2 linked regions of the Bombyx mori genome follow. The protein of the gene in region 1 interacts with the protein of each later gene in a pairwise test. Links are inferred from orthologs where the notes say so. Each region holds a gene or a part of one and is shown on either strand. Other genes may lie near its edges.

What was found.
Region 2: the proteins of RIMS-binding protein 2 (region 1) and protein unc-13 homolog A interact in a two-hybrid assay, tested with the Drosophila melanogaster proteins (2 studies listed by BioGRID). The link is inferred for Bombyx mori from reciprocal best matches to the Drosophila melanogaster genes Rbp and unc-13.

What each region holds. Positions count from the first base shown.
Region 1 is NC_085122.1:8,935,153-8,939,046, forward strand, and holds part of RIMS-binding protein 2, read left to right. Parts: intron 1-598; coding exon 599-672; intron 673-1,815; coding exon 1,816-2,196; 3' UTR 2,197-3,894.
Region 2 is NC_085127.1:10,041,917-10,046,460, forward strand, and holds the start of protein unc-13 homolog A, read left to right. Parts: upstream 1-1,406; 5' UTR 1,407-1,752; intron 1,753-4,544.

The DNA of each region.
Region 1 (3,894 bases):
GACTTGCTATGTGACTATCGAACGACGCTAGCTATTTCGCTCAGATAACCTCTATCATCTTTCTTGTACGATTGCGACGGGACTTGCCGAATTTTGTTAGTTATAATATTTAAATTTACAGCAAAGATTTAATGTTTAAAACAAATGCAAGTCCGGTTGCAATCTACGGAGCACAAAGACTCTTGGTGTATACATTTTGCTAAAACACCATCTTGGATTACACAGTCACATAAATCGTTAAATTTTTTAAAGAAATTATAAAAAAGATGAGGTCACACGATACGCCCCCACATGTATCGAATAGGGAAAATGCGAAATAGTTTTTTTTGTTTTTTGTATTATTATTTTTTGTTTTTTCTTTGTTTTTCGTTTAATCTATCCAATTATCTATCCTATCTTTATTTTTGTTTAACCTAACCCGTGAGGTCTAATCCAGTGAGGCTCCACACGTAATTAGCACACACGAGTGGGTAGGCTGACGTACAAATACACGCAACATAGACTTGCACAGAGCCCGCGGTGTCGGTGAAGTGTGATCCAAGATTCGGGTGGTTGTCTGTGGTCACTATATATGTTGGGTGTATTGTCTGTTTGCTAGATGCCTGCCCTCTTCCCCCTTCTCAATTAGACCACAACACATGCGCCAGTAATCCAGAACAGGCGAATTCTCAGGTAAAAATTTACCGTTTAATAAATCGAACCCACAAAAACTACTACTTCAGATAAACTAAGCAATTATACTAGTCTTATTATGTTCAACTATCACTTTCATATATTTAGATGAATTATTGTTTTCTCACTGTTTCCTTTCTTCATTTTTATTTTAATTTTTTCTCTATAATATTTTATCGTTACGTTTCACGCTGCGCTCAGTGTACAGATGAGGGCGTTTTTAAATGAAACTGATCGCTAGTACTTGGTCCTTTACTATTTACATATTATTATATTTAATAACGAACGGAACCAGAATATAGACACATTAGCTCTCATAACATATGCTGACCAGTTTCTATAAGTACTCAACATTAACACTGTCGCATACTTCACTCACATTGATTTACAATAGCTCAATCACCATCTTTTTAAGTGACTGCATAAGCATTCGAGGCCTGTCAATGTGGTCTACACGATTACAGCGTTTTATTTTAACTTGTCAATGACATGCCTATTTGTGTGTACTTCGGTCCGAAGTACTTGCATTAATCGGGTAGTATATTATAACACGTTCTCACAAATGCTTTCTGTTGTAGTTTATCAAAGCATGAGATGCATGTCTCAATCTCGATCAATAATTAGATCACGACGCGGCGACGCGTTTATAAAAGTAAGAATAATTTTGATTTAGTATCTTTCACTCGCTTGGTGCATGGAAACGGCATGTTCAGTCAAAAGCACGAAATCCAACGCGTTCTTAATGTTGTCTGTACTACAAGTGATATAAATAAATTTAATCTCAAGATAAAACATCAAAATAAACAGTTTGAAAATAAAATTTCAAAAAAAAAAACAGGTACGAATTAATTTATTACCAGAAATTCCATTTTATGCTTCTTTTCCCTGTTGGATTGGAAACGATGTAACCGTACTTATTCTACTCAGTAAATTCTAACGCATCGATATGGCAAGTATCGTGACATATCGTTCTTTCAAAGTAAAATTATCATAGATGTCACATTCTCTATTCAAATTTAACTATTCTGAAGCACATAAATTGCAAAATAAATTTTTTCACAGGCAAAAATTTAATTTTTTCACATTCCTGTTACAAAAATAGGGTTGTGGTTGTACGATGAAATAATAAATAATTGGCAACAGGCGAGGGGGAGAGGCGCGTCGAGCGGACAGCCCCCGAACACGATCGCGCGAACGAGCGCTGGTAATGCGGGCACCCCCACCGTCCAGTCGCCCGGCAACGCACCCCCCAGCGGACCCCCCACCTCCAACAACTCCGCGAGCACTCCGCTTAATGCGACCGGGCCCACTAGCACAACGACGGGGGGTCCTACGGCGCAAACAACTACCAGACGCGGAGGTCCAGCGGTCGTGCCTTCCGCGCAGCCCCTCACGCCGGCGCAGCCCCCCTCATCCCAGCCCAACCTGATGCAGAAGTTCTCCGAAATGACGGCACCCGGTGGCGACATTCTTAGTAAAGGCAAAGAACTGATCTTCATGAAATTCGGTCTCGGTGGTAAATAATGTCGGTCGCAGGGGGTCGCGGCGTGCGACTCCCGCCGCGCTGTCTCGTCCACTCCCCCGGTGCCCTGGTACTGGCTGGTACTCCTGCGGCTAATCCAAACTATCTATCCGGCTCTTCGTGGAGCTTGTATTTAATTTAGGCATGTTGTAAATAGTTATATGCAATACACGCACAGTATAGTGGATATCTGATCGTTAGTGCTATCTCGGTAGATTCATGGATGGAGCTCAGACATCTGGGAATAGTTGTACCTATATCTAAAGCTTCTCTATCTCCGAAGTTTGCTCGTTAACTACTTAGGTTAGAAATAAATATGAATTATATCATTGTTATTGTTTATGCGATAGTAGAGTTTGACTTGTGTTATTTCTTGCGTAGAATAAGAAATTATAATGTTACCGTCTAGTTGTTACTTCATATTCCTTACGGTGTAGTCTTGTTGTAATTTTCTAATTTACGTTTTAAATCTAGCTAGCTGTGTGAATAGCCCTTGAAAATATTATAAAACAGCGGAACAAGAATGTGAACTTCCTCTAAAGTCTGATCTCACGGAAAAATTACGATTAGTTATTGTTGTTTATGATAAATGTTTTGTTAACGCTAATCTTTGTACAATGCTATGGTGCAACCGTCCCTTTTAAATAAACGGAATCGATTTAAAAAAATATCGATTGACTTTTAATCGACGTTCGGCGGTCATGATCGTCAATGAAAAATATTGTATGGAAAGCAGGAACACGTATTTTATTATTTATAGAAATTTGCAAAAGTGAAGTGTTGAAAAGTTTGAAAGCTAATTTTAAAAAAAATGACGTCATAATTTCACTTTCATCTCGATTCCATGCTGTCAGTAAAATTTATATACCTTAAAATCGATTAAGTAATTGAATCCCTTTAAGGTATAATAATTATTCTCGAATAGAAACTAAGATACTGTGATAGTAGACGTGATACCATCTATATTCTAATTGTACTATACATTTACTTCACACAAAACATTCTCGACTGCATTGGACAGGAAATTCGTTCGCATTTTTGCCATTTGAAATTGAACTTTATATTCGAAGAAGATGTACAATAACTTGTCATTTATTGTGGCAATAGATAATCGTGTATCGATAAGAACTATATTACGAAGGAAACTTCATATAATAGTTACTTTTCTTACGTATCCAAAAGCCGTAGACGTAATTAAACACGTCTAACGTTTAATCTGGTATTAGGTTCATAATAAAAAAAAACATTTATGACAAAGGCGAATTAACCCAATGACAAGACTGCTTGCATGGAGAAGATATTTTATATAAGTTATAAATCAATAATGCATCACTGATGTGTTTTGATTTCAAGTTAGAAATTCATTACCAAAATAATATCACGTACACTTAATTATTTTAATAAATGATCACCATAATAAATAATGTTTGACTGCGTAATGAATAATCGTAATCAAACATAATTCAGTAATTTATTCCGAGATAATTATAATATTCAATATGAAATGTTTAAGTAATTCTAAAAATTGTTGTACATATTGATCATCGGGATCGCTTGGGTTCTTAGACTATGTATTTCGAAATTGCTCACTTCGTACAAGAATAATTTTAAGTCCTTTAAATCTCTATAATATATCTACATAACAAATACGTTACGTAAATTATATAACATATATTTATTCCCGTGTTAACGTACAGCTT
Region 2 (4,544 bases), on another chromosome or scaffold:
GCGAACGGTACATAGCCGATGCTTGAAATGCCTAAAGCGTCGAGAGTAGATCGAGAGGACCCGGAAAGATATGTTTAGGGCGACGGCGGTTGTTTGTTGCTCCATCGTCCGGGGTACGGGATGTAATTTGTGGCGGCTACGATAAGAGGGTTATCATGCCGTGCCACTTTCTCGAAGAAGTGTTCGCTCAGCTACTTAGTAATCTAGTTTACTTATATACTAGGTTTAATTCTAAGTCGTCGTGCAAATCTAAATTCCTTACATGTCATTTCGAAGGCTATCCTGCAAAAGTGGGATTATATTGCTTGGAGAGAGTTTATGAGGCTGTGGGGTGACCGCACGTGAATTATGACCGCATTTTATTAGTGGTACACGCTTGCTTGTAATGTTCGACGTCTGATTTAGTAGTCGTAACTATACACAATTTTTATTCAAATATTTAAAAGTGAACAAGAGAAAAGTGTATTTATCTCTCTCGTTCATTATTAGAGAATAAATCCCATGAAAGCAACATATAAAAGAAACTGGCCACTCAAGACAATAAAAGCAAAGTTACTAAATAAAACACTACAAAATCCACACGAGAAAAATAAATTTCGATATAATCTTCATAACTGTAGATGCACTCCTCTTCAGTGGTAATAAAACTATAAAATTCTTCTCTCGGCAAACATTCCAGGTTTCATTTCATTTTATACCTGTGTCGGCAAGTGCCTAAGTCTTTTTGGGTGTTATGATGTTATGAACAAGATAAACAGCTTCGAAGTGTTTGCGTTCAAAGCGAGGGCCCCGGCGCTACGTGACCTTAACTTTAGATGTTATCTGTGCGCAAGTGTAAAATATTGTTATACATAAACGCTGTTATTACAGTTTTGCGGAATCCGCCCTAATTTAAGCTGTGTGAACTATAGTTTATGTTTTAAGCACCGCCGAGGAGGAACGTAGTCTGATAAACTGAGGATTTTGCGCTACGCCGTAATTCGAGGCAGGCTAAGTCGGATTTTGTTCTACAAGGCATTTCAATTATACTATGTAAAGTTTATCATGAAAAACATTAGTAGTTGAGATAATGTTTTTATTACAAATTGCGGTGCCCAGGGGAATTAAGATCTTTCAAACCGGTAAAAGCGTGGGAAGGGTTATTGTTTTTTTTTGTCTACCTACATATATGTAAGCAAATTAAAATAGTGTTATATGATATAAAGTTGGAAGGAATGACTGCTTCATGGCAGGAACAAAAAGCATGGAAGTGGCTACACGCTTTACCATTGTTTACGCAAACTTTAATTTTTTGCGGTTTCGATATCTACAAAGCGAAATTACTCCTTAGAAGACGTTGGTGAGCACCTGGTAAATTAGGTAATTTTTTTATAAAAATTGGTACCCGCCTTCGGTAATTGAACCCTCGTATAGTCGCATCACTCAACGCAAATACACTAAGCATCTTATACGTTAGGTCACGATTACTCTGGTAGGGATAAGATCGTTGGTGTCGGCTGCGAAAGATCATGGCGTGGTGTTGTGACGGAGCGCACAGGTGGTATACATCGTTGACGAGGGGCGCGGCGCTTCGATATCGAGCGGGCGGCGTCGATGGCGGCGCGCGCACCAGTGCATCGGCTACCGGAGGCCCAGGCGGCCGCGTCCTCAGCACTTCATGCGACTCTATCGGCCATACGACACAGTCGGCCGCGCGTGGCGGCCCGACCGCCTTCCGACACCCATATCCTACCCGATCCCGATAATCGTGCGGTAAACAAATCACATGTGATAGTGCAGTGCAGTGACGGTTCACGCCGCCGATGTCCACGTGATTAATCGTGTGTGACACGGCGGATATTCCTCTAGTGTAATTAGTTGATCAATTATATAACGAACGTTGTAATGACAAAACTCATTGACGGAATGTATTCTCGTTACATTCGTAATCGGAGGCCTGGTTTCTGTAATTGAATCAAACTCAGTCATTTTTAAAACAAACGTTGCGCGCCTAAAATCTGAACGCATGATTTTTCTTTTTGTTAAAATAATTAATGGCAAGAGTAGATTAAACTAAATGAGAAATACTGGTTTAAATGACGCAGTCATTTCAAACTCTATCCAAGTTTCTGATTTATACTTATAATATTTCAATCTTAAGTACTAAATACATTCCCAACTAGTTTCACGTAAATTTACAGCTCACCGAGTACTTCGTAATTAGTTCTAAACTATGCCAAAACTTTGATGGACGTGTATCGTCGTCATCATTTTAAAGTTTCATTCAAAGCGTAGCGCGTAGACGCTTCGTAGCATAACCGCTACAAGATTTGCTACGGACGTGGATCATACAAGAAAAACTAAAATAAAATATACAAAAGCGAACTAATTGAACACTTATTGTCGAAGTTGAACATAACTTTATAATAATTAAGTTTAAGTCCATTACGAAAGTTACTAGATGTTTATTATTAAAATTATTTATATTATTATTGTTTATTATTATTTATATATTATTTTATTTATATTATTAATTACTATTATTAGCAGATCAATTAAAACAAATGATAATTGCTCTCATATTAAAAACTGACTTATTTTTAACACATTCAGTGTTATAAATTGGACTAATTATTCAGTTTTTACGTTCCTATTTTATTGGCTTACTATTCAAAATTCCTCGAACATATTTTTTTGTTGTATTGGAAATACACGAAACAAAAAAAATTTAATTATTTAATTTACGAAAAACAAACCTTAAATATTCAAATAATCCTTTTTTTCATTTTTCATTAATGTTGGTTACAATTTCTGAGTTGAATGACCCAACCGCGAAAATCGAAGAAGGAAATCAAGATTCTGAGAACGACTTGTATAGCTGTCCGCAACAGTATTGAATAACGAGAAGTCATTTGACGAAATGGTTCATTTTCCTTATAATATCAAAATGTTTTTTTTTTTGTAATCCTCATTTTTAGAGCTGTTGACAATCTAATATTAATTGACTACTTGAATCACTAAATGTGACCACTTCAATGGCGCCATTGCCGTTTGCCTTGAGACATGAACTTAAAAGCTCATGTGTATTGCAAAAGGCAGACATAAGCAGAGCAGTGGTCCTTACTAGAGTCGACTTTCAACATCCTACCACCAGCAAAGATGTCATCAAATTGTCAATAATTTATTTAAAAAGAAAAAGTCTCAGAATACACTGAAATTTCCAATTTGATTGATGGATTTCGATAACCATTTAACACCACGTGGTGTGGTTAGCCACACATTTATGGAAAAAGAAACTAATGTCGATATTATTTATATAGTAATATTTTCACAATTATTATATTCCACCTTCACTGTGTCATGATATTTAAGCTTTGCTTTTGTGATTGTGGCTTAGACGTTAATGACATATGAAATTTATTAATTAGTATATCAATATGCACTAAAATTACTATAATAGTAGTCACTACATTACATTTGACCTGTCGAAGAGTGTATATAATGTTAATCTCTTCATATCTTTTTTGAATAACGAACATAAATTAATAATGTATCAAAAGCGGAAAGAACATATTTAGTTTTCCTAAAAATGAATAAATAATTCTGTTGCTTATTGTTGTAAGTCATTGTGACCGAATTCTATTATTTTGGATGGTTGGGCAGCCTATTCAAATCTAATAATGCTTAATAGTTACAATAATATCCTGTACATGAATACCAATATGGTTCTTAAATGAAAAAAGGTAACTTGTAAGTGCATCGCTTCTCAAGTGATCAATCAATTATAAAACGGTAAAAAGCGAAATAAATTAAAAGTTTGCGTAAACCAGCTGGATAAGATCAAGTTGACACTAATGGATGTTGTGGATCTTGATGCGGGGCTCTGCCTTGATTGATGGCCGATTTGGCTGAAGTCTCGTGTAATTAATGTGGCCTGACCGATCCGTCGACAGACAATTAGAGGATTACAACCGAAGCTTGTCCTATCTTACGTATAGAGGACTGTACAATGACATTGTGCTAACCTAGCTCGTACTGGCTTTGTGTTTGAAGCCAATGTTTATGTGAATAGGATCTGAGTGGTTAATTCCGTAACATTAACTCTTGAAATGAGCGTTCTCTGAAAGGTCTAGATAATTTAGTAGTTTTACTTCACGAATTGTTAGGTCGAATAAATTTATTTTACATTGCTAACTCTATAGCGATAATCTACATATTTTTACTGTCGTAAAAAGCTTTACCTATAGTCGACTCATTAATAAGTCATACTAATAGATATATCGGAGTGCACGTGAATAGTAGCTTCCGGAAAAGATCTTATAACTACACTCGGCAACAAGAAATCTAACATTAGATTTGTATTATAATTATCATAATAGTTTGAGTCCTCATAACGTATGCTGTTTGAAAATGTTACTAATTTAATGTTCGGGTGGTTTGTGAATGAAATGCCTCTAACAGTTTGACTTTAGGTATATTTTCGCTTGTTTCTGTAGTATTGGATAAACTCGTTAGCTTGACATTTGGGTTATTTGAAAAAGTGCTTTCGAATTCCGAATGTATAC